7 linked regions of the Rattus norvegicus genome follow. The protein of the gene in region 1 interacts with the protein of each later gene in a pairwise test. Links are inferred from orthologs where the notes say so. Each region holds a gene or a part of one and is shown in the gene's direction. Other genes may lie near its edges.

Region 1 (4,553 bases):
GCTCTGATGGACTTCCCAAGAGCCTCAGTAACATATCTTCCTGAATGTTTTAGTTAGGTTTTATTGCTGTAAAGACCACAGCAATTTGGGAAGGAAAGAATGTATTTGCTTTACAGATTTCAGTCCAAGGCAGACATTTAAAAAAGAACTGAAGCAGAAAGCCACAGGAATACTGCTTCTTGGCTTGTTCCCGCTCTTACAGCACCCAGGACCACTTGAGCAGGGGTGGTGCCACCCACAACGGGCCGGGCCATCCCACACCAATCATTCATCAAGCAAACCACCCCACAGTCTTGCCTGTAGACCATCAGGATGATGGAAGCACTGAGGTTCCTTTTCCCATATAACTCTAGTGTGTATCAAGCTGATGGGGAAAAACAAAAATCCAACCAACAACAAAACCCACCAAGACGCAGCCTTTTAGTGTACTAGAGAAAACGAGCGTGTTTCAGAACCAGAGATGGCATCAGACTATGTGTAGATTTGTAAGATGTGTAGAGTGTAAGATGAACTATGCCCCCGTCCTGTGGGCCAGTGGTGGTGCATGCCTTTAATCCCAGAACTCAGGAGGCAGAGGCGGGCATATCTCCGAGTTCGAGGCCAGCCTGATCTACAGAGTTGAGTTCCAAAACAGCCAGGGACACAAAGAAACCCTGTCTTGAAAAAACCAAAAACCAAAACCAAACCAAACCAAACCAACAAAAAAGCCCAACTCCTTTCTTTCTCAGCACCAGAGAAATAACTACAGCAGCGAGGAAAACTGCTTCCTGGCGAGAACGCCCGGGCACTCCTTCGGAAACTCATTCCTTAAACTGTTCCAGGCCCACACTGGTTTATCCTAACAGAGACAACCCAAGAATCAGGTATTTCAGAACAAAATAGGGCCAGGGATTGACAAAGAAAAAACAAATTTATTACAGGCTGTGCACAGCTGCCTAGAGATAAGTTCTTCGGTTCCTCTGCCTTTCCTGTTTACAGAGTTACAGAAAAGATAAAGCAAAAGCCAGGAAGCACGCTCGCCGATTACAACGCGAGGACCTCCGGCAGCCAAGCTCTTCCTCTGGGGCTGGGCCCTTAGCCTTTCCTTCTCGCGACATGGGGTCCTGAGGACATTTTAATCACTCAGGGTCCCCGTGACGCTGGTTCAGGCACTATGGGCACGGCGGTTCTATCCGGCGGTGGCTTCCTTGGGATAACACCTTCTCCGCCTTTGACAAACCAAGACCCCAGTGCTTGCAGAGGGACCAGACATCCACTCGGCCTCAGTTCCGATGGGAACCGGAAGCAGAGCGAGGCCTTCCAGTACTCAGACACGCCCCCTTAGCGTTAAGTCGCTGCCGGGGCAACAGCGCGCCATTTCCGCCAGCGAGTGACGCACTTCCTGTGCGCCGGCAGGTCACATCCGGGTTTCGGCTAGCGGGTCCCTCGCAGGCTCTGGGAAGGTGGACCGAAGTTGTGTGATTCACGGGTGCTGAGTGAGGTGAGCGGGCGGCGGGGTGGCGGGATGGCCCGGAGGGCGGGCTGATGCTCTATGGCGGCGGTCCCATGCTCTCCCCGCGCCCAGGTCTCCAGCCCGGCCCGCCGCGGGACGGGACCTGGGAGCGTCCTGACGCTGACACTAAATAACCAGCCCCGAACGCGGGTAAGCTGAGTGTCTCCTGACCACTGTGGGATTTTTACTATCCCCTGTGCTGGGGAGGTGGTAATCTCATGAGCCCAGGGCTTCCTGCTCCTTTGAGAACTTTGCGCTCAACTCTTAGCTGAGGTTGAGACCTGTTGTGATGAACCGGTGCATAGTGAGGAGTAGGGAGATGTTTATAACAACGGAGCGCTTTCTCCGCTGTCAATTACTGGTGCATCTGTACACCATGGAGTCACATAGTGAGGACATTGCTGTGCAGTGTCGGGGCCTTTGTATGTGATACCCACACACAGAGGTGTTCATAGAAGCGTGATTTAAACTCAGGCGGTAGTGTTGAGTGTTCCTGATTTTCACAGTCATTTTGAAGGGTTCACTTCTCAGCCCTGACTGGTAATGACGGTGATCCTGAAACCACCTGACCACGGGACGGAAGTAGAAGATGCTTTTTTCTTACTTTTTTTTCTTTCTTTTTTTCTTTTTCTCCCCTCCCCCCACCTTGTTTACTGTTTTTTTTCGAGACAGAATTTCTCTGTGTAACAGCCAGCCCTGTCTGTCCTGGAACTGTCCTGGACTGGCTTTGAACTCAGATCCACCTGTCTCTGCCTCCCTATTCCTAGAATCAAAGATGGTCATCATCCTGCCTGGTGAGGGTGCTGTTTCTTGAGCACCTGCAGGGAGTTCAGCTTTTGTTGTTTTGTCTGTTTTGAGACCAGGTTGGCTTTGAAATTACTGAGATGGACTGCCTTTGTCTTTCTAAAGGATTGTTTTAGTGCTTGCAAGCTACTTCTGGAACTGAATGAATGCAGTTATGAGAGAGAGCTAAGTAGATAACCTGGGTAGAACACTTTGTTTACTCTACACCCTCTAGGCGTGACTGTGAAGTGTCGTCCAGAAAGACCACCTCCTTCCAATCCCTCAGAAGCCATTCAGGTTTGGGAAGGAAACCTTCAGTTTTGTGAGACAGTATTTCAGAAAATGCTCTAAAGTTTCCCTGGAACTGCAAATCAGCTAGGTACAACTTCCCTGGAGAAGGAAAGGACCAACTTGGTTTCTGAGGTAATAGCACATGGAGCTGTTGCTTCCTTTCTGTGGCATGTCTGCCGTCTGTCTGTGGCCCCACCCCATGCATGCACTATGTTTGACTCTGAAAAGGCATTGTTCCTTAGACCCCTGTGATGACCGGGTCTGACTCGTCTCACTTGTTGCAGAGCTGGTCATTTTATCCTGTGTTTAATGGCTGCTTTACTGAGTTGTATTATGAGGCTCATAGCTTTTTGACTCCGGAGGATCTTCTGCTGGCCGTGGGTTCTCACAGTGCTGTTCTTGTCCCCTCTTCTTGTAGTGACTGGCCATGTCTCTGTCCCACTTGTACCGGGATGGGGAAGGCCACCTTGATGATGACGATGACGAGCGTGAGAACTTTGAGATCACTGACTGGGATCTCCAGAATGAGTTCAACCCCAACCGGCAGCGTCATTGGCAGACCAAAGAGGAGGCCACCTATGGAGTGTGGGCTGAGCGTGACTCAGACGAGGAGAGGCCCAGCTTCGGAGGCAAACGGTACTGTGTGCTGGGCTGCATGCCCTTGGTCTGGAGGGTCAGGAGGACACCCTAGAAGAGTTTCCTGCCCTGCTCCTGTCCAGACACTACAGCATCCTGCTCTGTACTGTTGAGCTGGGATGGCAACATCCTCCTTAGCAATTACTGTGTGACGGGAGCAGGATATGGACAGAGACGTGCTGGTCCACCACAGGCATGGCAGCTGTGGGACCATGCTGTGCCAAGGAACACTTGCAGGGCACTAGAGAACAGGGGGGGTCAGGGAAGGTCACTCTGGAGAAGACTGTTGGCCCAAATGAAGGCGTCGTCCACAGGGGACGTGTGGTAGTACGGCCTGGGCTACATAGTAAGATGCTGTCTCTCAAGGCAAGAAAACAGCATGTGCCTCCCAGCTGACCTCACTCAGAATATTTTGTTTAATTTTACTTATGATTTTTTGATTAATTTTAATTAGGATTTTTATCTATCTGGGTTGTTCTGTTTGAGTTTTACACTTGAAAGAGTATCTAAAACAAATGCCGTGTGTGTTTTACATGCACGCTAGATAAGAACTGTACCACTCTAAAGCAAGCAGGGAGCTGAGACAGTCTTTTCGGTTGTGAAAGGGGCCCAGTGTGATGGCTTAGAGGTGGAGATGTCTGCAGGGCAAGCCTGGTTAGCTGCGTTCCATCACCAGGTTCCTACATGAAGGGTGAAAGGGATGAGCCACTCTACAGATTGTTCTTGCACGCAGCAATAGCGCCATTTTTGAAAGTGTCAAAGGGAAGTGAGATCATTGCATCCCAATTTGAACTCATAATCAACTACTGACAGTGGCAAGTCTTCAGCTACAGGTTTGAGTTGAACGGACCACATGAGCGTTAAATGTGGGCTGGAAGAGGACTCAGTAGCAATGAAGATTGAGCACTGCTCCAGCAGACCTGAGTGTGGCTCCCAGCCAGTGCCACGGCTGGCAGCTCACACTGCCCCTGATTCCATCTTCGGGGAATCTGCTTTGGCTCACAGGGGACCCATACGGTCATGCACTCAACCACACACAGCTAAATGTTTTTAAAATGTTAAATGTCAGCTGATTGGAGAGCAGGTTTGAGTCCCTTTTGGTGTTAAATCCACATATTACTGCTCTAAAGTGGATCTCATGAGGGCCTCTCTCTCTAAGGAATTCTCTTGTGAGCAGCTTCTAGGACAGGGTGCTGCAGAAGCGTACTTTACGACTTGGAGACTTTGTGTGTGTTGGTAGGGCCCGAGACTATTCTGCACCCGTCAACTTCATCAGTGCGGGGCTCAAGAAAGGGGCGGCTGAGGAGGCTGACTCGGAGGACTCTGATGCCGAAGAGAAGCCTGTGAAACA
Region 2 (3,936 bases), on another chromosome or scaffold:
GTTTTTATTTGATATACTTTTATATCTCCTGTAAATATTATCAAAATTTGACCCCAAAGGTCCTATATTTCATGTAAAAAATAATATAAAACCAAATAGAGAGTGTTCCAGAAATGCCTTTTAATAATGTGTTGTTTTGAGCTGGGCATGATAGCACAGCCTTTGATCCCAGCCCTTGGGAGGCAGAAGTTGATGGATCGGTGGATCTCTATGACTTTGAGCTGGTCTACACAACAAGGTCCAGGCTAGCCAAGACTGAACAATGAAACTTTGTCCCAAACAAACAAACCAAAAAAAGTACTGTTTCCCATTCTTAATTTCCCATTATAGTAAAGCACAGCCTCATTTAACTCCAGTGACCACAGGCCAGAGTGTCCTTTTGTTTCCTCAGGTTGTGGACTATGTCTTTGGCTGACACAACAGAAGCACACACGAATGAGCATTTCCCCAGTCTGGCATTAGGAAGCAACAGGAAGTCTGCAGAAGGCAAGCATAGCCCTGGTGCTGGCGGCCTGTCACGGAACAGCCGGGCTTCCAGTGGGAGCGTGGACTACAGCAGGTCCCGGTGCTCCTGCACAAGCCTGACTTCTCGCTATGACTACTCAGAAGACTTTCTCTCTGAGTGCTCTGAGACAGCTGTCAGCAGACATCAGCCAGAGCAGCTTCTGGGGAAAGAAAAGGAGAAAAGAAAGTATAACACATGTAAATTCCCTCAGCCTAAAGGTAAGAAGCCAGACTTCCCAGCCAGGGTCACTGTAGCACTGGTCACAGTGCTGTCTTTGTTTAACACTAGTGGCCACAACCAGTTATGGGTGTGTCTTCCTGAAAAAAGAAGAAAAAATATATATATATGAAATTTTGGAAGGACTTGGAAACAAAAATTAAGGAAATCATAAAATAATAAACTGTAGCGTCATCCCCACAGAGCTGGCCCCCTAAGCCTGCTACTAGGGAGAGTTCTGTTCTAGTTAACAGGTGCTCATCAGGTACTCGGTACACAGGTACTCAGTACTTGGTTTCACCAGTTTTTTGCCATTGGCCTCAACTAAAGAATCAAAGTTTGAACTGCCAATGAAACGCCTTGTCTTGACCCCAAGAAGACAGTCTCCCAAGTCTGGTAAGGATGGTGGTGACCTCCATCACCCAAAAGGCCTTTTCTTTGTGGCCCCTTGTTTTATTCCTATTTTTCTGAGACAAGATTGCACTGTGTAACCTTTTTAGACCAGGTTGGCCTTGAAATCCACCTGTCTCTGCCTCCAGAGTGCTGGGATTAAAAGCTTATGCTTCAGCACCCAGCTGAAGGCATTTTCTTATTTGAGGTTCACTCCTCTCAAAAATGACTTTAACTTCTGTCAAGTTGACATAAAACTATCCAGAACAATGGGTTTTAATATAACTTGTTGTATTAGAGTTCATTGCTGTGAAGAGACACCATGACCAAGGCAAGTCTTATAAAGAAAAACTTTAACTGGGGCTGGTTTACTCTTTCCCAGGGTCAGTCCATTATCATGGAGGGAAGCATGGCAGCGTGCAGGCAGACGTGGTGCTGGGACAGCCAGAGTTCTGCATCCTGATCAGAAGGCAGCCAGGAAGAGACCGATTCTACACTAGGCAGAGTTTAAGCCTAAGAGACCTCAAAGCCCACCTACACAATTACACATTTCTCCAACAAGGCCACACCTCCTAATAGTGCCACTGCCCATGGGTTAAGCATATTCAAACCACACCAGTGTTCTGTTGTGTTTGAAGCAGGGTCTCATTTAATCCAGGCTATCCTTGGACTCCTAATCCTCTGCCTCTGCTTCCCCAGTGTAAGGATACAGGAATGCGCCTCCACACCAGGCATGATTCTCAGAGTAACTTTTATAGCAGATATCTAAACACAGGCTTTAGACTTCCAAAGAAGTAGTGTATAGTCCGTTCTGTGTCACCTGATGGCTCTCTAGCCTTGGATGACTTAAAATGACTCTCAGATGTAAGGCAGATGAGCCTGGGCTGAAGAGCTGTGTCTGGGAGACAGTTGTGTGTGCAGTGCCTACGTGCAGCAGGCACGTCCAGTGAGCCGCCTCGGCCTCTCAGTTTCACGGCATTTATGTTTATGTGTGTACTGGGGGTTGCTACACACGTGCATAGTTGCATGCCTCTGTGCACTGCTGTAACAGCCTGCACTGTCTGTCCATGCAGGCCAGAAGGACATCCCAGCTGAGAAAAGGCACATCTGGAACGCTTCATTTTTCAGTTCTCAAATCCAAACGATTGCCAAGAGAAGAGACACCATGACACACCGGATACTGTCAGCCAGGCTCCATAAGATCAAAGAGCTGAAGAATGAGCTGGCCGATATACACCGGAAGCTGGAAGCCACTATCCTAGAAAACCAGTTTCTGAAGCAGCTTCAGCTCAGGCACCTGAAAGCCATAGGGACATACGTGAACTCTCAGAACAATCTACCTCAGATTACAGTCAAGCACCAGAATGAGGTGAAGAACCTTCGACAGCTCCTCCGGAAATCCCAGGAGAAGGAGCGAGCTGTGTCCAGGAAACTCCGAGAAACCGACAGCGAGTTACTGAGGACCAAAGATGCCTTGCAAGCCCTGCAGAGACTCTCAGAAGACAAAAACCTTGCAGAGAGAGAAGAATTGACTCACAGGTTGACCGATCTTACAGCCAAAATGGAAGCAAATGACAAAAAAATACAGGTTTGTGTCTCAGGAGTTCCAGTACTGGGTCCATGGGCTGTGCCCAGCTCAGCACACAGAGTAACTGTGTTGAGTAGCGAGTGGGCAGATGGGGGCTGGAAGGAGGCAAACAAGTGTCAGAGCTGGGAGTCTGCCCTGGAGTGGGCAAGACTGCCCTGCAGCAAGAGTGCCCAGCCTGTCTGGAAGCAGCTGGTCCAGTGGCCACATGGGCATGTCCTGTGAGTCAGAGGTCGCCAGTGTGTTGTGGGCGTCTTCCTTTGAAATGATCACCTGCTTTCAGCTTCTACTGAAAGGCCACCTCCTCTTGCCAGAGTATTGTGTCTGTCATTCCAGCCCCTTTTCTTGTATTGTCTCTCTCCTCAATCTGACAGATTAGACTTGTTTCCACACAGTTTTCGTTATTTAAAAATAATGTTTTCTGGGAAGAAGAAAGAAAAGGGAAAGGAAAGGGAGGAGAAGACAGGGGAGAGAGGGAGGGAGGGGAGGGGGGAAGGAGAGAGGGGAGAAGAGAAGGGAGGGGAGAGGGAAGGGAAGGAGGGAAGAAGAGAAGGGGGAGGGGGAAAGGAGGGAGCAGAGAAGAGAAGGGGGAGGGTAAAAATGGAATTAAAATATCTGAAGAGATGGATAGATTTTTCCTCAACAGACCTTGGTTGTTCATTAAAAGGGGGAAAAGCTTCACAGTAGGGGAGCGGGCACTAATCCCACAGACTTCTGACTGTTTTACATGATCCTGATGGACATAAATACAAATGGACTGTTTAATTCTCTGATACTTGGTGACAAATATTTTCTGATAAATATTCGATGGTTTCACCTGAATTTTCATGATAATATTTGTTATGGGTACCTGGGGGTCACGCCAAGGAGTCCCCTGAGAAATTATTCTATGGAACAGATCTGGTACAAGGCAGTTTATTTGGGGACAGGATGGGGAGTGGGGACGTGGAGAGGAGATAGAGGCAGACATGTAGTCAGCAGACAGTTGGGAGCAGAGCCATCAGGGTAGAGAAGAGGGACAGGAAAGGACAGAAAGGAAGAGAGACCAGCAGGAACACTTGGAACAGAGAGAGAGCAGGAGTGCTGGGCGGGCATTTTACATACAGCCCACAGCTGATGCACCTGATGGCAGATGCTGACATAAGCTCCTGTAGGTCCCTGAGTGTAGGCCCCTGTAGGTCCCTGGGAGTGTAAGCCCCTGTAGGTCCCTGGGAGTGTAGGCCCCTGTAGGTCCCTGGGA
Region 3 (4,596 bases), on another chromosome or scaffold:
TTACTCAACACTAAATCAACTCTGTTGTTTTCAATTATCCTTGATCATTATATATTTAGATCATTATATTTAATGTCTCCCAGAGATCTGCTATGTTGCTCCTTTGGTCCCCAGAAGGGCGGGCGGCTAGTGGAAGAGGGTAGGGTCTTTGTGTAGGAGGTTGCCCAAGGGGATGCAACTTCTCCCTCCAGAGCACTAGAGGCTGAACATCGCTCTGTGTGTGCGTAAGACAAGAAAAGGCCTGGGAGAGACGGAAGAGTCCCAGTGGCCACCCAATCCACCAGAGAGTTTATCTATTGACATGGAATACATGGGAATACAACTGAACTTGTTAGAATTCTGGTAAAAGGAAACCTACGATCAACTTTCCTGCAGCTGGTGTGTAGGAAGAGTGAACGACTGAGCCAGGGATTGCAGGAGAGATGGTGGATCCGAGAGTAAAAACAGTAGACACAATTTTATGCTGATTGAATTTTCAACTGTAGTGACCATAGGGTCTCACTTAGTCTCTGCCTTGCGACTATTACTGGCTAAATCGTTGGGACGTCAATTAATTCTGAGGCCAAAAGGGACTCCTGAGAGCTGTAAAGACAATCAGCGTGATTTTCCACCCCACTGGGCCTTTCTGACCTCTTTGGGCAGTTCGACTCAGTCACTGTACCGTGCACGGTACCGTGAGGCATGTCAGAAAGATCTGCGAAAATCTAAGGCATCCTCTATAGTGTGACTTTCTGCAGGGTTAGGGAAGGTAGACAGGAGGAAGATTTTCAAGAAATGTCAGTGGTGTTTATAGACAGAAGTAGTACGGCCTCCTTCTTTATGCATCTACTGCCTGAAACGTTTTCCCTGCTTCTGCCTTCAGAGGGCTTTGTATTATTTCATGAGTTGGAAAACAGACGTGACTGAAGCTGCGTCTCAAGGAAGAGGAGTTTGGTAATTCATCCGTTTACAGCGAGACACACAAAACACAGTTCCATTAGGACAAGGCTTGGCAGGCCACTGGGAGTCGCCAGGATTCCCTGCAGCAGCAGCTCCTTGCTGTTCACTTGCACTCTTGGTGACTGGCTGGGAGGCAGTTGCTCTGCCAAGCCAGGTCGGGTGGCGGTCTTGCCCGCGTTGCTTAGCGACGTCTGCGTAAGATTGGTGCGCATTTCCAGATGTTCAGCATCTGCACTAACTGTGCCCACCTTCCTCCGTGTGAGGCACCCTAGGTGTCCCCAGGTGAAGTACCCTGAGCTGGCTGTCCCCACTCTGCACTTGGGGATCTTCCTGGAGCCATGAACCCTCCAAGGCTGCGCGCTCCCCGGGAGGGCCGGTCTGGGTGAGGCCCGGGTCCAGGGGCGCGCAAAGCCCGGAGTGGGAGCCCCAGTGACGCACCAGTGACGTCGGCGGCGGCGGGCGGGATTTCCCGGCCCCTCCCGGCGCGGGAGGAGACCTGCTGCGGAGTGGGTGCGAGGGAGTGGGTGCGGTCAGCGTGGCGCAGCGGCAAGGGTTGGGAGTCACCGCCTTGCACCCCGTGGGCCCGCTGCGCAGACCCGGAGCCCCGCTTGCGGGTGGCTTTGCTGTGGCTTGGGCTCCGCGCTGCTTCCCCCTTTCTCCCCAGACGCGCAGGTCCTCTGTGGCCCGGGACCCCGCGAGTGGTGACACGGGGCGCGCTTTCACAGAGCCCGGGGCTCGCGATGCCGCTTGGCCTGGCCGCCCCCGTCGAGCGCCACGCCGGGGACCCAGCCCACGTCTGAGCGGCACCGGCTGCGCGCCGGCTGCGGTAAGTGGCGCCCGAGCCCCCGGGAGGGCGCGGTGCCTCGTCGGGGAACCTCGGCCCCGGGCCCCGACAGCTCCGTGAGTCCCTGGCCGAAATCAAAAGTCTCGGAACTAGAGAGACATTCTGGCTCCCTTCTCTGGAGGTGCCGCGGCACGGGTCACAAAGACCTGTGGTTCGTTGTGGTGGCGGCCTCTTGGTGCACGGCCGCGGGGAGCCTCCAGCCTGAGCCTCCGTAATGTCCACAGGTAGCAGGGGCCTCGAGGGACACAGCCAAGTACCCTAGGGTCGAGGAGGGCCGAGGCTTCCAGGGGACCCTTCTTCATGGGGGAGAGGGTGGCATAGAGACTGGCCGGTCATGACCATAAGGGACACCACCTCGTACCCCCAAACCCACCCCACCCCCCTCATCCCTCGTGCAGAGGACCACAGAAGATGGATGGCATGGACACTGATCGTTTTGTTTGGAGCAGTGTTTTGGCGGGGGGTTCGCAGACGCCCTCTGCTTTCCCGACGCCAGGACACCTGCCTCGGGTAGAGGGGAGAGCCTGTTGACCTGGGTGAGTTTGTGCTCTCCCTCTCGATGGCGACTGTCCCCGAAGCAGGTGCTGAAACGCACTGCTGAGCTCATGGGGCATAGCTTTGGGAGAGCGAGCTTTGCTTTAATTTTTAGTCTTCTGGGAAATAATAAGACGAGATGCCAATGGCTGCAAAAGGCTCCATCATTTATCCTAATCTGCTTCTTGTCGTGTATTTCGAGCTAAGATGTGAGTGAGGATACTTCCAAATGTGAAAGTTTGATCCAGCGATAGATAAATCCTGTCCTCGGCTCCCAGGCCTCCCAGGTCTGTAAAAGGCTGGCAGCAGGCAGGCTTGCGTTTCAGCCAGAGCAAACCGGCAAGGCTGTGCTGGGTACTGGTGAAAAGGCTCCAGAGCGAGGTGTGATGGCCCCCACTGCTGCAGCAAGGCACTTGGGCTGCGTGCAGGCTGACTGGTTCTTCATTATTGGAGCGTCACCACCCTTTTCCTCATGTTGACTTGCAAGGAGGAAGGCAGCCACCTCCTCCTCTGGTCCTGTTAACCTGATAGAGACCACTTGGGGTTTGGGGTGGGGGAGACCTGAGCTTTCTTTCAGTCCTGAGAAACAAGACAAGGTGCTTGTCGACTGCACTTGGGGTTTCTGGATTTCTCCAGCCTGCTGAGAGGTGTTGATGAGAATGCAGGGACATACCGGGGTGCATTGCTAGCCAAGGGACTCTCAGTCTGAGAGAGCTGTGGGACCATGCAACCCTTAGGCCCCAGTCCTTTCCCCTTGTAATAAAACCCAGAGAGCAAGCAATGGAGAGACTTGGGGAGAAAACTGCACAGGGAAGGAAGGGCCATTCTGATCAGTTCCTGCCTGTCTGACTGGCTGCCTTCCCTCTCTTTTCATGGTAGTCTGTAAGGAAGAACCCAGAGGGGAGATTTCCCTTGTTCATTTCGTAGTGTCAGTTATCAGATGGCACAGGGCCCTTGCCTTTGTCCTGTCTCAAGATCACTGGACACCTGAGAGTGAGAGTGGCTGTGTTTGTGTCCACCCAGAACACACTCACACTCAGCACCCGCTGGGAATGCAGCCCAGCAGTTGGTCAAAGTCTGGGTCTCCTTACTGCCAGATCTTACTGCCATCTTTCTTACTTTGTCTCACTTTATTCTGCTTGACAAGGGGAGGGTGTTGATGGCATGTATTAGAAGCTTCTTTTGGGGAAATTTTGAAGTAATACCTGATTTTTTTAAATCTACAGTTTGCTATGCAATCTGATGATTTCTTTTGTTTCCTTTACAACATCTTTATTGCCTTTAGGCAAATCCAAACTTTGAGACTTTTAGTATTCAGGTCACAGTTACTCATTCAGTTTTCTTAGACCAAACACTGAAACATCTTAATTTCTACAAAAACATAGACCCTGGATATCACAGATTTTTGCTGAAAGTCAGAGAAACCATGTGTCAAAGTAGGACCATGTTGCTTGAAGGCTTTAAGTGGCTGCCTAAAAACTAAGAATAAGCCAAGGCCTTTCAAGAAACTGGTGGGGGGAAACACAAATGGAGTGTCCACACAGGGAACAAAGCTGAGGCAATAAAAAGCTCCTGAAAGATTCATGTAGAAAAATCGGGACATGTGTAAAGAGATCCATGCACTGAGCTATGGGGCCATTGTGGCAGCAGCTGCTGCAGTCTCTGGCAGATGGGCCTGTGTGGAAGCAGTGTTGCTTACTGTAGGTAGGCCCTTGCTGCCCATGAGGGGTGAGGACACAGAAGCAGCAGTGGAGACAATGTACATCATGTGGCCTTGAGGTCTTTGGGGGTCTACAGGCAAATCCACAAAGGCTGAACCGATCAGAGGCAGGCAGGGTGGGGGCCCAGGTAAGTAGGCCCAGGGCTGAGGAGCAGTGCTTGCTGGGTATGTGATGAGAACAGCCTCAGTTGATCCTCAAGTGACACTTGCTTCATTGGGGTTTTGCAAAGCATCATAGTTGGGAAGTGTTCTGGCAGTGCCCTCGGTGGGCTGTAGGGACTTCAATGAAAGTAGGTAAAGATGACAAGTAATATGACTGAGCCACATGGAGGAAAAGAGTGGGTGACTGAGGCTGGATGTGGCTTTCCCAAAGATGATGATATGCCCTTCTTTTTCCTCAAAGTTCCTTCTAAGAGGTTAGGTCAGCTGTCAGGATGTGTACTAAAGTTGTGAAGAGGTCCCTAGAGATAGGAGAAACATTTTCATTGCCCTTTGAGGTCTGAGGGACTGCTTCTCCCCAGCACATGTGCATACAGTGCCCATGAATTGTTAGCTGACC
Region 4 (3,853 bases), on another chromosome or scaffold:
ACCAGACCCTGGAAATAGAGCTCCAGTCCCAACTAAGCATGGTGAGCCCCTCGGATCATGTTCAGAACTCTGGAAGCACAGACAACCGAAATAAACAACCTTTCCCCTTGCAGAGCCAACAAGGAAACAGGTCCAATGGCTAATAAGAACTATGCCACAGGAAGAAACCAAGGCAAGGGTAACAGGCAATGCAGGGCAGAGGAAAGAGTAGATCTGGAAGCTTCCACAGAGAAAATCACATTTGTCCTGGATCTTGAATCAAAGATGAGCTTTAAGTTGCAGGAAAGGGGTAGAGGCATTGCAGGCTAAGTAAGTTATGTTGACAACCCTCCCAAGACGACATGATGGCATTCCACTTTAGGAGTCAAGGCTAAAGGGACAGACCAGTCTGGGTCATGTCAGGGTGGTGGAAGGAGGAGAGAGAGAGTTGAACTATGGGGCAACTCTTAGAGTTGAATCTCAGGAGAAAAGGGAAAGGCTCTGTCAGTTTTGCCTGCATGTCAACCGCCAAAGAGTCACATGATCAAGCCTGGGCCCGTAGCTTGAGAAATCCAGTTCTCAACTGACACCATGAATTGTGTGGCCAGGCCTACTAAAGGGGTGACAGGCATGACCTCTTTCCAAGCAAGGAAGTAAACCTCGACGCTGTGGCACCGTGTGCATCACGCTGTGGGAACCGTAAAGGTTAATCGAAACAAAGCAAAAAGGCAAGAGGTGGCAGGGGTAACTGGCTGACTAGGCAGAAAGAGCTAGAAAACCGGGTGGTGCTCAAAGGCTGCAAAAGTTCTTCCCAAAAGACACAACGGTTGCGCTATCCACAAGTAAGAATCCCCCCTCTTTGTCTTGCATGCTTAGAAAGAGTCTCTGGAGCGCACCCTGGAGGAGACCAAGGCTCGTTATGCCAGCCAGTTGGCGGCCATCCAGGAAATGCTGAGTTCCCTGGAGGCCCAACTGATGCAGATCCGGAGCGACACTGAACGCCAGAACCAAGAGTACAATATCCTCCTTGACATAAAGACCCGGCTTGAGCAGGAGATCGCCACCTACCGCCGCCTTCTGGAAGGAGAGGACATAAAGTGAGGCTCTTAGCATCCCGGAATGTGTGTCTCTCTGTGTGTTTGCCATTCTCCTTCACAGTCCTTGTCCAGCCAATCCCCAGCACAATAGCAGTGTTACACACGGGACAACGAGGCAGAAATACACCAAACAGTAGAGAACACCCCACACAGCAGTAGCCTATGAACGAGGTCTGTGACAGGACCGAGTCAGAAGACGGTTCTCCAAAGGATGCCGATCACCTTTGTGTTGATTCTTGTGCTAAGTGTATAGCTGGAAGCATAATGCCCTTTTGAAAATTCTCACTGACTGCTCATGAATTAAACCACCGGCCGCGAAGGCCCACGGGAGCCAGTTTGTAGATGAGCAGAATTGGAGCAACGTCTGCCTTCGCATATAAACCTCCCCCGCAAAACAAACAATCAAAAAACCCCACAGACTTGAACGTTTGTCCTAATTTTAGTCCTCAATGTACAAATTTCTAGTAGATGATAAGTAGGTCGGTGTTTTCCAAGCTAAAAAGCAGATCACTGCAGCGTGAGATAAACACAGTCCAAAGGACAGACATAGGAAAAGAACATTTAACCACATGTCAACCCAGACATTAGAAAACAAAGGGGCAAGGAGGGAATCCCCACAGCTTTGACCCGGCAGTAATGCTGTCTTTCTTTCTGCTTACTTCACAACACAGAACTACAGAGTACCAGCTAAACACTTTGGAAGCAAAAGGTAAGTGTTCTGCACTTGGGCACATGTCCTATAGTGCGGAAATCTCAGCAGCTCCCTGACAGCTGTCTGTCAGTGGGGGAAGGTGAAAGGTGGAGGTCCTCCAAAGCACAAGTGAGGGGCAAGTTTCTATGTGTTTGTTTGTTCCGTGTGTGTGTGTGTGTGTGTGTGTGTGTGTGTGTGTGTGTGTGTGTAAGAGAAAGGAGAGAGGAGAGAGGGGGAGGGGAGGGAAAGAGAAGAGAAAAGAAAGAAGAGAGAGAAGAGAAAGAAGAGAGAGAGGAGGGGAGGGAAAGAGGAGAAGAAAGAGAGAAGAGAGAGAAGAGACGGAGAAGAGAAAGAGGAGAGAGAGAGAGGAGGGAAAGAAGAGAAGAGAGAGAAGAGAAGAAGAGAAAGAGGGGAGAGAGAGAGGAGGGAAAGAAGAGAAGAGAGAGAAGAGAAGGAGAAGAGAAAGAGGAGAGAGAGAGGAGGGGAGGGGAAGAAGAGGAGAGAGAGAGAGAGAGAGAGAGAGAGAGAGAGAGAGAGAGAGAGAGAGATTGCCCATGCCACACTGCATGGAAGTCAGAACAACTTCCTGCCTACCACCACATCCAGCATGTTTTCAAAGGAAAACCATGGGTTTCAGCACCAGAGCACAGACCCCCATACTTGTTTAGCAAGTGCTGTATTGGCTGAGCTATCTCACCAGCCTCAAGGCATCAAGATTCTAAAAGACTTGGACATCATGCACAGAATGCACTCAAGTGGAGACTTTGGCACACTCTCTATGACGAAGTGCCTTTCTTAACCCATGCTATGGCTAGAACAGCCCCGGGTCCTGGGGAGGCAGGGGGTTGGGGGGGGGGTGTGCAACTAAAATGTGGATTTCGTTTTATTCGAGATTGCCTATTTTTATCTGAGGTGAGAAGATGGGGGCCTTATGAATTTGGGGAGAATGAGATACATCGTTCTATGCTTTTTTATAAAATCCAACTTAAATTTGTATATGGAAAAAGTCGAGTGATTTTTCAGGGTGGCCATGAGCCTGGACCAACTTCTAATGTCTGACACTCACACAGATATCAAGAAAACCAGGAAGATTAAGACGGTCGTGGAGGAAGTGGTAGACGGCAAGGTCGTGTCCTCTGAAGTCAAGGAGATAGAAGAAAACATATAAACAGCTGCCAATGGGGAGGCTGCTCCAGCTGTGGCGTCCGGAAACCGCATCAATACTGTGCGGTGACTGCGAAGCGGGGAGAAGTCTATTTACCGGGCTCTGTAATTAAATATAAACGTTTTCACTCTGGGGAGCTGTAAAGGGCTTGTAAGATTAAAGCCAGTGAATCCTGGAACATTTAAGCCACCTTCACTGTGGTCCTCTTAGGGCGGAGGAGTTCAAGCAAACAAACCTCTCACGCCTGGGGTTTTGTTTTTCTTGTTTCTGAATTCTAAAAGCCCCCTGTAGGGTTCTCCCAGGAGGCAACTTCCCAGTTACTCTCATTGCCCTCCTGTTGCCTTTAAGCTGCCTTTGCCTCCCCTCCTCCAACCCAGTCGTCTCTGCCACCTCTCAGAACTCAACTTAGTCATTGAATCATTTAAGACAAATTCCAATCACGAATGCTGAAGAGAGTAAGGAGCCCTGCGCAAGGTGATTGACACGGGGCTCGGTTAAGAGCAAAACTAGACTGGAGGTAGACTGGTGTCTTCTTGTCGTAGTAAACTGCTTAGCTCATTAAACGTAGCTTTATTCGGTGAATGTGGGGTATGGAGTGTCTCTCACGGTTTTTCTTTCGTGAGACTCAGCTACAAACTGCGAAATCCACCTATGTAACGTGTGCACCCGGGGGTTGTACAACGATGACCACTAATCCTTGAACATGTCCACCACCCTCAAAGACAGAGCCCATACCCAATGGCAGTCATCCCCAGTAGACGAGGATTTCGGACACCAACCTTGGTCCCCACGTGGATGCAAATACAAGTGCACTTGCAACACGAATGGATATGCACTCACACACATGTGTACATGAACCATACACACACATTCACATGCACCCACACACATGTGCCCACACACATGCATATGTATACATGG
Region 5 (3,943 bases), on another chromosome or scaffold:
ATATCAGCTCTCACCAGATCACAACTGAGACAAAAGTCTACCAGGACTATTGTATAATGTTGCCTTCAAAATGTGGATAGAAAGCAAACTAATAACATGTCTATTCTGGAGCTTATAACATATCATTGTACATATGCGAATATTCTCAAACCTGGAAACACGGACATACTTCTTGCCACAAATATTCTGGGTAAAAGATGTCTGTCTTGTCTAAATAAACACATTGAAGAGCCAAGGAATGCCAACCCAATACCTTAAATACATCTGTTTTAAGTGATAATAAATCTCAATGCATAATTTTAAGATGTTTTAAACTTGAGGAACTCAAAGAAGGGCTAAGGAATTCCATTATTTCAGAATAAGAAAGATGATCAAATTTAAGGACTTCTGGCTTTGGAAGCTTCAACCATGGTCATTGCATAAAGGAAAGTTCGAGGAAATATCAGGTTCAGGTTACCTCCTCTCAATCTACATTTTTTATTTATGAACACCAATATGCTGCCTCTCATTTATGAAAGAATGTTAGATATTATCCAAAAGAATTGCATTTGAAAGATATTGGGAAAGATTTGGACGTGCGCCCAACATGGAATTAGTCATTTGCTAATGACGTAATGCAAGACGTGGAAGATTTCTTATAAACATGAAGATGTAACAGCAGTAAGCAGGGGGAAAGGGCACTGGGAGTGCATGAAAAATACACTATCATAAAATGTGTATTAATAAACATGTTGATCATTTCCCACTAGATTCTTAAGGGAATTTCTAAATGAAATCAAAGTGACCTAATAGAAATGCAGAGCCCAAATCCATAGTTATTAAAATAATTGTAAGCCAACAAACTAAGAATCCAACGATGAATGAATACATATAAATAATTTTATATATCTGTTTTGTTCATGTGGGACCTGGGGTTTAAACTCAGGTTCATGCTTGAACTGCAACAGCTCTTGCCCACTGAACCAAGTCCCATTTTAATTAAAATTTTAGACGCACATCAATTATGTTATATGAATCTACTTCTAAAACATTAAATTCTCACATGGATTGATTTCCAGTGTCTGTAACTATACTTTGCATTCTTCCTTGTTTGATACTGCTCAGATTTGTAACGATTTATCTCTATTAATAATTTCTCAACATTCTGATATTAGACAACACATCATCATCATCATCATCATCATCATCAGGTATGACTTTCCAAGAAAAGGTTATTTTTGTCTCTCCTATTCTTTTGTGGAAAACTCAAATTCAAGAATTAGTCTTCTTCCTCCAGGACCTTCACACTTAACTCAGTGTGTCGGAACTTAACTTCACCATCTCAGCTATATCTTTCTCCTTCAACTTGTTTCTTTCCCCACTATCACCCATCTCTGTCCCATACAGGAGACCAGGAGATCCTTTTCATAATACTAGTGGTACCCTCCCTTAGACCCCAGTGGTTGGGCTTTGCTACTTCGCTCCTATCCAGCCCTACCACCCTTCTGGCTTCCCACTACGCATGCGCAATATAGCGTCTGCCCCGCCCGGCCCGCTGCTGCGGAAGGCGCAGTGCTCAGTAAAGCGCACTTCCTCTGCTAGTATCCACTGAGGCAGTGCAGGCTCCGAGAGCTCCGAGTCGCAGCGGTCCTGCTCTGATCAAAAGACGCAGAATGTCGGAACAAAGTAAGGACCTGAGCGACCCTAACTTTGCCGCTGAGGACCCCGACACTGAGATGCAGGTCAGCGATGCTGTTCCGGTGGGGGTCCCTCCTCCCGCTCCTCTGGCCGCGAACCTCTCAGGGCCATCGTGCGCTCCGGAAGGCCCTATGGCAGCCCCACAGGCCTCGCCACCACCTGCAGAACGGTTTGAAGAGGTTGACCCTAAGATCCTGCAGCAGGCCGCAGAAGAGGGCCGCGCCCACCAGCCCCAGAGCCCAGCCCGGCCGATCCCAGCACCGCCGGCCCCTGCCCAGCTGGTGCAGAAGGCGCACGAGCTCATGTGGTACGTGTTGGTCAAGGACCAGAAGAGGATGGTCCTCTGGTTTCCAGACATGGTGAAAGAGGTCATGGGCAGCTACAAGAAGTGGTGCAGAAGCATCCTCAGGCGCACCAGCGTCATCCTCGCCAGAGTTTTCGGGCTGCACCTGAGGCTGACCAATCTCCACACCATGGAGTTCGCCCTGGTCAAAGCACTCAGCCCAGAAGAGCTGGACAGAGTCGCGCTGAACAACCGTATGCCCATGACAGGTCTCCTGCTCATGATCCTGAGTCTCATCTATGTGAAGGGCCGCGGGGCCAGAGAGGGTGCGGTCTGGAATGTGCTGCGCATCCTGGGGCTGAGGCCCTGGAAGAAGCACTCCACCTTCGGAGATGTGAGAAAGATTATCACCGAGGAGTTCGTCCAGCAGAATTACCTGAAGTACCAGCGTGTGCCCCACATCGAGCCTCCCGAGTACGAGTTCTTCTGGGGCCCCAGAGCTAACCGTGAAATCACCAAGATGCAGATCATGGAGTTCCTGGCCAGAGTCTTTAAGAAGGATCCCCAGGCTTGGCCTTCCCGCTACAGAGAGGCTCTGGAGCAGGCCAGAGCTCTGCGGGAGGCTAATCTTGTCGCCCAGGCCCCCCGCAGCAGTGTCTCTGAGGACTAAAATGTCCAGGAGCACATTGATAGTTTCTGACCCATACTAGGGCTGTGTAAGGGTGGGGTTGGACATTAGAGTATCCCAGATTCATAGTGCAGTATTTCATGTATAGTTTTTAAGTTTTCCATCCAGTGCTTTTTTTATCTTGTAATGCAATGTATTCAGTTGTGTACTCGTGTAGTGTTTAAAATTGATGCATGTGTGTTTTATAAGTGAGCAAGTTGGTACTTTCACTTCTGTGCTTTCTTGGATTTTTGTACAAGAGATGTGCTGTGCTAAACTTGTGAAATACATTGAGGTGTTCTGTATCTTGTTCTTTGAATGGGACTGATGGTCCGTATCGACAAAGAAGGCCCTGGAGAGTTAGCAGGACTTAACAACAACACAGACCTGACCAAGAGAAAGGTCAGGGTCCCTCTCCATATGACTCCAACTGGCACAGGAAACATCCATGTGGAATGGACTGATTTGAACTGGACTGTTTTCAGTTTAAGCACTTAGCACACTTTGCAAAACATGTATCCAACCCCACCATAAATAAACTTTAAAATGAGCATTAAATATACCGTGAAATAATTTCTTTGTTTGGGGGGGAGGCATTTATTTTGGTGAAAGGGGGAATGGGAGTGGGTAGGGATGAGAAAGATTCTCCCCGTGTACAACATGAGCAAGTATACTTCTAACAGAGTGGGAAAACACCACTCATAACCACTCAGAAGTTTTTTGAAAATTGTGGTGCTTCAAGAAATTGGTCACATTAAAGGCGTGATAACAAAAAAAGGCATGTTCACATAACGTGGGAATAATAACAGGAATTATGTAGGGACTGTCCCTTTTCTGTTTTGTTTTGTTTTGTTTTTTTGTTTTAAATAGTCTTTGGTGGGCACTTTAACAGAATGAAATATTGCTACTAAACCCTCGTTGTGCATTTTCTTCTTTATTTTATCCTCCCACCAGCCATAAGAAGTAAGGAATGACTGTATCAGCACAAAGCAAGAAAAATGAAAGGATGCTGGTAATGAAATACCCTAAAAATCATAGACCTTATACTGGAGTCTTGACACTTAGCTCCCCATGGCTACCACTCACACAAGCACCCTTGTCTCCCTGCTGCATACATTAAGGATTTGATTTTTCTAATTAATTCTGAGAGTTTTGCGCAAATTAGCCTCTGAATGTACGAATTAGGAAACTCATTTCAGAAAGAATTGATGACCCAATCAAGTCCTTATCTTGCTAAGGGGTAAAAAGAAGATCTGAAATTTCATCTTTTCGGGGGGGATGAAAATGAACGAAATTATTCTGACAGTGATTCCTGT
Region 6 (3,897 bases), on another chromosome or scaffold:
TGTACACACACTGCACATATACACACTGTACATATACACACTGCACACACACTGCACACATATGTACTGTATATACACTGAACACACACATACTGCACACATATTGCATGCACACACTGCACATACACTATACACATACATATTGCACATACATACACTGCATACATACTGTATACACACTGAACACACATACTGCACACACATTGCACACATACTGCATACATACATACTACACATACAGCACACATACTGCACACTTATACTGCACACACACTCATACTGCACACACACACTACACACCACACACACACACACACACACACACACACACAGCCACAACACAATGAAGAGTTAGGCATGAGATAAGGAAGGGTGAAAACAATCTCAGAAGTTCTAGGTGTACTCAGCAGTATACCCCAGCTGACCCACAAAATGGGTGTCTGCCCATTTGTTGCATGAGAAGACAGGTAAACTTTCTAGTAAGTCTGTAGGACCTTGGACAAGTTGCTTTACATATCATGACAATAATGTCTAACTTAAAGTCTTGTAAAAAAAATTAAAAGCCTTTCAAGTAATAAAAATGGGGCAGGACTTCCTCAGTAACTATTTTGAGAGAAATAGAGTAGATTGAAACTTACCTACCCTAACCCAAGAAGCTTTGATTCTTATTCTTTCTTTACCCTAGGATGTGGTCTTTGGGGATTAGTATCTGTGTTTTGTGGGGTTTCTTTCATAGCTAAAGTGGGGGAAATAATGCATGTACTCTCCACCTAACATTTTTGGAAAGATCAGATGAAGTAATGTATGGTAGCATTGTGAAGCTGACAGGTCAAAATCCCAAGTGTCAAGGGAGATACGCACCTCAGTTAAACAAGTTGCCCAAAGTCACACAACTCTTTATCCTAGACATAAGATGCAGGCATTTCCAGTTACTTATAGGCTCCAGATTTCAAGAACCCAGCAATTTTGCCTTCAACTCACTATCAGGGGTGCCACTCCACGGTCAGTAGTACCCAAAGTGCCCCAAGGATGCACTTGGGGGAGCCTACTAGACCAAGGTGCCGTGAAGGAATTAGAGTTAAGGGCACTCCAGTCTTCAGAAACCTCCTCCCTTTCTTCCTGGCCTTCTGCCTGTCACAGTCTCTTCTGTGCTCCCTACGGCTCATGTACAAAGTCCCACAATGCTGCCTTTCTCAACAACACACAGGGAACTCAAGGATCTGCAAACAACCCTCCCCAGCCCTAGGTCTCGCCATTTATCCTGCAGACCCATACCCCCAGCACTGCAGAGATGAGTCTGGCTATACGTCTGCTAGTGTGCAGAGAACAGAAGGGCACGCTGACCTGTGGACAGGGTATGAGGAGGCAAAGCACAGGTCCCAGGAGAGCAAGACCAGAGGGCTCCCCAGGACAGGGCTCGCCAGCTTGGAACAGGAGCTCTGGGCTCCTAGTGAAAACTCGGAGATCAAGGCCAGCCCTGGACAGCCTCTGAGGCTACTCTAAGTGAGCTCTGCGACTTCCTGGCAGGCTGGGTGTAGCTTGGTCGCCTTGACCACCAGAGGGAGAAACCTTGGGAACATTGGCTCAGGACGCTGTACCCTGAAGTAACAAACCGCCTTGCTCCCTGGCAGTCACTTTCCTTGACCTGGGGATTCTGGGAACATGCTTGCCCAGAGCCCTAAAGGTGCACCCCCACCAACACCATACCTTACTATTCTAAATACGTATCTCAAGCCAAAATTGCTAACGAGGTTGGAGAAACGGGTAAAGAGGAAGACAGTGGTGGAGCTGAAGGAGCTGAGCCAGCAAATCCAAGAAACTAAATGCCGGCGGGAAAGGCTGCTGACGGACAGCAGGCAGCTACTAGAAGAAAAATACCGCGTGCAGGCCGAAAACCAGCTTTTCACGGAATACTTGCGTAAAAATAAGGAACAGTGTGAAAAGAAACAGGAGGAGCTGTGGAAGCAGTACATCCAAGAATGTGGCGAGATAGAACGAGAGAGGCAAGAATTGGCGTCCAGATACAACCAGAGAAATGCAGCTCTTCAAGCCCAGCTCCTGCAGGGCAGAAAGACCCAGAAGGATTTGAAGCAGCAGTTGCAGGCCCTGAAGCCAATTTACAAAGTAAAGGAGGGCCAGGACATGAAAATACAGAGCTTGGAGCAGGAGCAAGAGAAAGTCCGAGGTGAGACTGCGGCCAAGGACCAGAAGGCACACTTCCGGTTCCTGCAGGAAAAGGCATTGATGGAGAAGGAGCTGGAAGACCTGCACCTGATGGAGCTGGGGCAGATCAACACCACGGGGCTTACGAGGAAGTACAAGGCCTTGGCTCTAGCAGCCAAGCAGGCTCATTCTGAGTTCTGTGGCAGCCTCCACAGGGAGAACCAGCAGCTACGCAAGGAGCTTCAGCAACTGAGCCAGGAGTACCGCAGGGTGGAAGCTGTGAGGAATCAGCTGGAAAAGCACCGGAGGCTGATGAAAGAGCAGCGGTGGTACCTAGAAGCCTTGACCAGAGGGCGGCAGCGGCTGCAGGCAGAACGCGAACGCCATCACCGTCGTCACAACCCGTGCCTCAAGGAACAGAGAACTTCAAAGACCATGCTGAGCACCAAATCAAAAACAAGTTTAAAGTAAGAGCTACTACAACTGAACTGGAGCACAGGGAATAACTACAATCCAGAAAGTATCCTTCGTGGAGACTAGAAACGCTTGCACGAAGGGCGGTTGACGCAGCATGGGCTGTGCTCCTAGCCTGGGACCCAGGTCGTGGCTGTCCGTGTCCCTGGGGCTGCGTACACTCAGAGATTTAGAACAGTTGGAAATTTTGTAATGGGTTACACCACCCACTTTTATAGTAGCATTTGAAATCCTCAGATTACCCACTTAGGGCATATATTTTTACCACGCTTATTTTTTTCTTAGTGTGTACTCTGCAGTCCACAAAGTACGGTGTATAACCTGTACATTCTATGTATTTTGGGCCATATGAAGCAAATAGGAATCTTAAATTGTAGGGTTTTTGTTTGTTTAGAAGGGTCGCACGTTTGCATTTATGGTGGACTGTTTTGTTGAACTGTGGGTTCTGGTCTGGAAGAATGGTCTTGTATTTGGGTGATGCCCCTGCATAGGGAAAAGACATAGCCAGCTTCACGTTTCTCAGAAATTATTGGTAATGAAAACTTCGAGGGCACTCTTCAGAATTTTCTGCTTTTTTTATATGTAAAATAGGTTCTTTTTAAATAGGATTAAAAGGTGACTTAGCTTTTCAATGTGCCTTATCACCATCATCATCTTTTAGCATTGCTGGTGAATACATATACTTTACAGTTAAACAGTGTTGTTAAAACAAAATTTACCTGTAATTAGTTCTTAATACCCCTCCAGATTTATAAGTACAACAAAAATACTATATCCCTCAATGTTTTATTATACTACTGCCACCCTTTTGAAGTGATAGAACAAGCATGTGATGAGGTACAGCAGGCCAATAACATAAGCACCATGACTCGGGGTGAGGCCACTACGTCAGTGGCTAACGGGTGGGTAGTGTATAAAACATGGACGCTCTGGGCAAGGATGATTTGTGACCCTTATGTGATGGTACAAGGTCTCACCACACTACTCAGACACATGAAATATGCGAATCGTTTCTTTCCAGAATTTTCCATTTGATTTTGGACTGAAACTGAACACAGATAACTGAAAGGTAGGGAGGGAAGCCTGGGTAAGGGGAGTTGCCACGGTGCCAATCCAGGCCCCCTACTTTGCCTACTGTTTATAAAGGAGAAGCCCGCAGCCCAAAGGCTGTTTTAAAGCCTTCCTTGCGTCATTTCTTATCTCGTGGAGTATTAAAAGCTCACCTTGATCGAGGCTAACTACAGATCTTTTCCCTGTATG
Region 7 (4,581 bases), on another chromosome or scaffold:
GTCAGCTTAAGCACGTCCTTTTTACTTCTTTAATTTTCTTGCTCTTTCTTGGTGAATGTATGATTCTGCTAGTTTGTTTCTATTTTTAAATGAATGAATGAATGAATGAATGAATGGTGCGCGCGCGCGCGCGCGTGTGTGTGTGTGTGTGTGTGTGTGTGTGTGTGTGTGTGTGTACATGTATGTATACTGAGCATATCTATGTGGCTCAGAATCCGAGTTTTGGCAGTCACTTCTTTCCCTGTCATTTTGTGGGGTCTGTGGGCTGATTTCAGGTAGAAAGAACTACACACAGACGTACCTCACGGACACCCCTCACTAGTCCTCATTCATTTTACAAAGGTGCCTGATTATTGAAAATAATTGTTTCTTTAGCTTTTATAAAAAATACTAAAATCTGAAAAGAAAAGTCTGTCAACTTTCGCTTCTCCAATTGGGCCATAAAATCAACAGATTAATTTGTCAAGAAAATACAATTTCTGTCCCATGTGCTGGAATCGTTGGGTTCAAAGTAAAATTCTGGAAAGTCTTTTGATGTCGAGGGCTTTGACAAAAGTTCCTTATATCCTGTTAAATGTGAGAGGGTGAAAGAAATGTTCATTTGTCTCGTGTTTTTGTTTTTCTTTTTACCTCAAAGACCTAAATGTTTATGAACCTTCAAAGGGACATAGGAAGTCACTGACACAGTTCCTCGTGTAACAATTAGAACAACAAAATGAAATGTAGAATTGACTCATACGCAAATATACACAAGTCCATGCTGAGGTAACTGAATGCATAGATAAATGAGAGATAAGAAAATTACCCTTAAATAGTAACCCGAACAATAATGTCTGGATGCCACAGGAAGTAGAGCTCGACCTTTCTGCCTTGTCACCCAGAGTAAAATGAACCGAGTGAATTCAATGTGACGAAGACATTTCGAGGAGAGAAGAAGAGTAACGAAGCAGAGAAACCTAGTCCACTTGATTCTAATCAGGGAATCAAGGTCAGCCTTGCTGCGGAAGTCTGATTGCTGTCTTGCTGTCACGTTGACCAGCAGGATGGGATGAGGTGTGGGGGAGGGCCTTGTCCCAGAGGTTTTCTTCCTGGTATGCGCATGTGAGAGATAGCAAAGAGACGGGTGGAATAATACCTACCAAACATCACTGGTATACCTCAAATTTCTAAAGTGGATCAGATCAAGAAAGGACTAAAAAAAAAAAAAAGACCTGTCAAAGAGCAGCAGAGACGAGGTGACCCACACTAACGCCAAGTAGTATATCAAATGGGATTTTGAGGGGAGCTAGGACATAAAGGGTATTAGCTCCAACACTCGTGACATTTGCAGACAATTTGGGGTTGGTTAATAGTAATGGACACTGTGGATGTCATAGGTTTCAACGAAGCCATCTCTAAGGAACTGTGTACCTTCAGGGCTCTGGCTGAGTTGTCTAGGGAACTCTTTCTCCTGGTTTTGCAATTGTTTGGTTTCAGATCATTCCCAATTAAAAGTGTTTAATTAGACACACACACACACACACACACACACACACACACACACACACACACGAGAAATGAATTTGTGGACTTAGGGCGCTACAGAACATCATCAGACAGGCCTGTCCTTAGCTAGAGCCTTTCCCCTGGGACAGGCGCCTTAAGGGCGGTGTCTGGTCTTTCCGCAGCAGCTCAAACGTCCCAGGCATTGGAGAGTCAGAGGCTCCTCCCAGAGGTCTGGGACACTGGACTCTGCCCTGGGCGCGCCTATCTGAGCACTTAGGTGCTCTCAGTCGCCAAACTTCAGCAGTTAAGGACCCGACGGTGGGCTCTCTGCCAGATCGCTGGAACTGGAGCAGGCGGAGGCCTTCAAGGTAGGCGAGCCTGGGACAACTGTGGACTGCTGCCAGGTGGGGGGACATCAGGTGACCTTGGCGCGGGCCACCCAGCCGAGCACCCCGGGACATTTCCCGGGGAAAGTCTTAGAGTGGTGAAGAGGGTGTTTCGTTGAACCTCTGGTTCTGGGCTCCGATTCCCTGGTGCAAAAGTTTTCAGAAAGAGAAAGTTACTTTTCTCCTCTCCCAGTGCACACAAACCTGCTTGTTTATTTAGGCTGCTGTTATCTCTTAGTCAGAAATCCTGAGACGTCTGTCTGCCTGTTTCAGGGGCCCGGGGAAAGGTAACCCAGAAAAAGCTGCAGTCTAACTGGCGTTCATCTCTGCCTCTGTGAGTTGTAGCCGCAGAGGTGAGCGAAAGTCAGTTGTTCCGCACGGACTTGCCTCGCTACAGGCGCTGCAAGGGAACAGCCCGTTTCCGACTCACTTGTCAATCTGGATTGTGGAGGGGCCTGAGGCAGCTTAGCAGGAGCAGTATCTCCTGCAGGGGCAGTTCTGGTGCTCCAGTGGATCGTGATAGTGGTGAATTTTCAGCCTCTTTCAGAAGGAAAAGGTGAACATAAACTTCAGAGCCTAGAGCACACCTCTAGGCCAGGACATAACTGATGTTACAGCAACGTGTCATAGTTATCTTATTCCAAGCATCAAGCGCCCCCCGCCCCTCCTCCTTCCTTCTGTGCTATATAAAAATTAACTTAATCAGATGATGTTAGGAATGCCAAACAGGAAGTTTAGGGATGGCAAAAGGGGAATCGAGCCTTCGGATTTTAAGCGATGCTATTAAATATTTAGCTCTGTGTAGATTGGTTTTCCAGAAACTTGATCTGGGCCTGAGTGTCTGGTACCTGTGTAGAATTGATGCTGTTGGTCAATTGTTGCTGGGCCGCCCTGCCCTCCTCCCTGTCGCTCCACCTCCATGGAGGGGCAGGGGGGGGGCGTTAGGGGAGTGGGAAGGAGATAAATAATTTGTCTCAGGCAGAGAAAAACATTGTTTCCTCAACTCCAGAAATAATGGAAAGAGGCTGGGTGTGGAAAGACCCAGGCAGACTTGTTAAGATTCTTAATTTGTTCTTTTCCAAGGCAATTGATCCTCTGTTCTAACTGAAAAGAGACTGAAATAAAGACCGGCACGCTTCCCTGACTTACTAAGAGGGACTATAACCAGAATGAAACCTTAAGGTAGCATTTGTCAGCTTGGCTGGTTCAAATGTGTTTCAACAGTGGCCTTTGGTTGCCATCCACACTTTTTTTTTTTTTTTTGCCAAAATGCTTAAAAATGTAAGTTAGATTTAGCCTTAAAATGTTTACTTCAGATAACTGCTGATAAGAGGAAGGATTTTGAAGAGATCTGAGAGGTGTTTAAAGTTGTAGGTTCAAGTAATTTTGAACTGAGACAGATATATCCAATTTAAATGATCATTTACTGATTGAAGCATATATATATATAAATGATGTATAAACATGATAAAAACATATATATGATGTATAAACATGATAAAAACATATATATGATGTATAAACATAATATAGACATGATATAAACATATATATATATATATATATATATATATATATATATATCTCATGTGGATTCATCCAGGTTGTAGTCTCTATTAGTAAGTAACTGAACAGTGCCTGGGTTTGATTAATTAAATAATTTAACATGATCACATAAATTTAATTATTGCTAAGCATGAATATCTGCCCTCTCCATGGATTTGGAAAACAAAAGCTGGTTTGGGGCTGGGCCTATGCATACTCTTTTAGGGAGCACTTTAAGCGATTGTGAGCTTGTGGAACAGAGCACACGTTTGTAAGATTAGAATTGACGGCGCTCCTGCCTGGCATGGTGCCATGTTGATTGCACAAGAAGAGAAATTCCTGTCTTCTTACGTTGGATTTCTCTAGAACGTCCTACTATCACATATCAGGAAGCAACAAACACCGGCCACAGATATGAGGACCTTTGTTCTGACAGAAGTTTCCCTCACTTACACCCACATCTACAACTTAGAGAGGAATTCCACATTCATTTGGCTAGTGCTGTTCTGTTTCATGTAGATTGGGCGAAAGCTTAGGAATTACGAATTCTAGGGTTAATATTATTAACATGGAATTAAGACTAAAGAGTCAAAGATCAGTTTCATGAAAAATAACTGAAAATTAAATGTGCCGCTTCGGGTAGCAGCGATTCTGGAAATATGAACAAAATTAAAATTTAACAAAGTCCTATCCAATAATTATTTTCATTCTTTAAATGAGAAAAAAATCAAAACAAAACAAAACAGCGATCACTGTTCCCTACAGGGAGCAAATCAGCTATGTTCAAGTTATTCTTGCTTTTATTCGGTTTCCTTGAACACAGTTTTATTGGAGGTGAGAGCAAATTACTCTAAAACATATCCAGGCGTATAATTCAGGGATTGTTTGTAAAGCCACTGAATGCAGTCACCACAGCACAGTGTGCACTTAGGTCACCGTCCCTAAACGTCTGCAGTCTCACTATCCCCGTCTTCAGGTCCAGGAGACCCTCATCTACCTTCTGTCTCTTCAGAGTTAACCTTTTCTGGACGTTTCAAGCTGGTGGAATCAAACACTGTTGGCGCCTTAACATCTGGCTTCTTTTACGTAGAGTACAGACTTCAAGGTTCATTCAGGTTGTAGCATGTATTTGTGCTTTGTTCTGCTTTATGGTCATCTAATATCC

The links.
Region 2: the proteins of Tfip11 (region 1) and Lca5l interact in binary tests that used the Homo sapiens proteins (3 or more experiments, as listed by UniProt). The two-hybrid records come from large-scale screens. The link is inferred for Rattus norvegicus from reciprocal best matches to the Homo sapiens genes TFIP11 and LCA5L.
Region 3: the proteins of Tfip11 (region 1) and Gng4 interact in a two-hybrid assay, tested with the Homo sapiens proteins (2 studies listed by BioGRID and IntAct). The two-hybrid records come from large-scale screens. The link is inferred for Rattus norvegicus from reciprocal best matches to the Homo sapiens genes TFIP11 and GNG4.
Region 4: the proteins of Tfip11 (region 1) and Krt20 interact in binary tests that used the Homo sapiens proteins (3 or more experiments, as listed by UniProt). The two-hybrid records come from large-scale screens. The link is inferred for Rattus norvegicus from reciprocal best matches to the Homo sapiens genes TFIP11 and KRT20.
Region 5: the proteins of Tfip11 (region 1) and Ndn interact in a two-hybrid assay, tested with the Homo sapiens proteins (2 studies listed by BioGRID and IntAct). The link is inferred for Rattus norvegicus from reciprocal best matches to the Homo sapiens genes TFIP11 and NDN.
Region 6: the proteins of Tfip11 (region 1) and Ccdc121rt1 interact in binary tests that used the Homo sapiens proteins (3 or more experiments, as listed by UniProt). The two-hybrid records come from large-scale screens. The link is inferred for Rattus norvegicus from reciprocal best matches to the Homo sapiens genes TFIP11 and CCDC121.
Region 7: the proteins of Tfip11 (region 1) and Ccdc68 interact in binary tests that used the Homo sapiens proteins (3 or more experiments, as listed by UniProt). The two-hybrid records come from large-scale screens. The link is inferred for Rattus norvegicus from reciprocal best matches to the Homo sapiens genes TFIP11 and CCDC68.

What each region holds. Positions count from the first base shown.
Region 1 is NC_086030.1:49,969,112-49,973,664, reverse strand, and holds the start of Tfip11 (tuftelin-interacting protein 11), read left to right. Parts: upstream 1-1,407; 5' UTR 1,408-1,480; intron 1,481-1,531; exon of another isoform or gene 1,532-1,642; intron 1,643-2,510; 5' UTR 2,511-2,698; intron 2,699-2,984; 5' UTR 2,985-2,993; coding exon 2,994-3,202; intron 3,203-4,442; coding exon 4,443-4,553. UniProt on the Homo sapiens protein: Involved in pre-mRNA splicing, specifically in spliceosome disassembly during late-stage splicing events. Intron turnover seems to proceed through reactions in two lariat-intron associated complexes termed Intron Large (IL) and Intron Small (IS).
Region 2 is NC_086029.1:48,947,309-48,951,244, reverse strand, and holds part of Lca5l (lebercilin-like protein), read left to right. Parts: intron 1-391; coding exon 392-723; intron 724-2,184; coding exon 2,185-2,699; intron 2,700-3,936.
Region 3 is NC_086035.1:93,431,765-93,436,360, forward strand, and holds the start of Gng4 (guanine nucleotide-binding protein G(I)/G(S)/G(O) subunit gamma-4), read left to right. Parts: upstream 1-1,430; 5' UTR 1,431-1,765; intron 1,766-4,596. UniProt on the Homo sapiens protein: Guanine nucleotide-binding proteins (G proteins) are involved as a modulator or transducer in various transmembrane signaling systems.
Region 4 is NC_086028.1:84,880,220-84,884,072, reverse strand, and holds the end of Krt20 (keratin, type I cytoskeletal 20), read left to right. Parts: coding exon 1-41; intron 42-855; coding exon 856-1,076; intron 1,077-1,747; coding exon 1,748-1,785; intron 1,786-2,837; coding exon 2,838-2,935; 3' UTR 2,936-3,121; downstream 3,122-3,853. UniProt on the Homo sapiens protein: Plays a significant role in maintaining keratin filament organization in intestinal epithelia. When phosphorylated, plays a role in the secretion of mucin in the small intestine.
Region 5 is NC_086019.1:125,259,474-125,263,416, forward strand, and holds Ndn (necdin), read left to right. Parts: upstream 1-1,585; 5' UTR 1,586-1,652; coding exon 1,653-2,630; 3' UTR 2,631-3,185; downstream 3,186-3,943. UniProt on the Homo sapiens protein: Growth suppressor that facilitates the entry of the cell into cell cycle arrest.
Region 6 is NC_086031.1:95,784,840-95,788,736, reverse strand, and holds Ccdc121rt1 (coiled-coil domain containing 121, retrotransposed), read left to right. Parts: upstream 1-1,601; 5' UTR 1,602-1,662; coding exon 1,663-2,634; 3' UTR 2,635-3,269; downstream 3,270-3,897.
Region 7 is NC_086036.1:65,815,549-65,820,129, forward strand, and holds the start of Ccdc68 (coiled-coil domain-containing protein 68), read left to right. Parts: upstream 1-1,752; 5' UTR 1,753-1,853; intron 1,854-4,581. UniProt on the Homo sapiens protein: Centriolar protein required for centriole subdistal appendage assembly and microtubule anchoring in interphase cells. Together with CCDC120, cooperate with subdistal appendage components ODF2, NIN and CEP170 for hierarchical subdistal appendage assembly.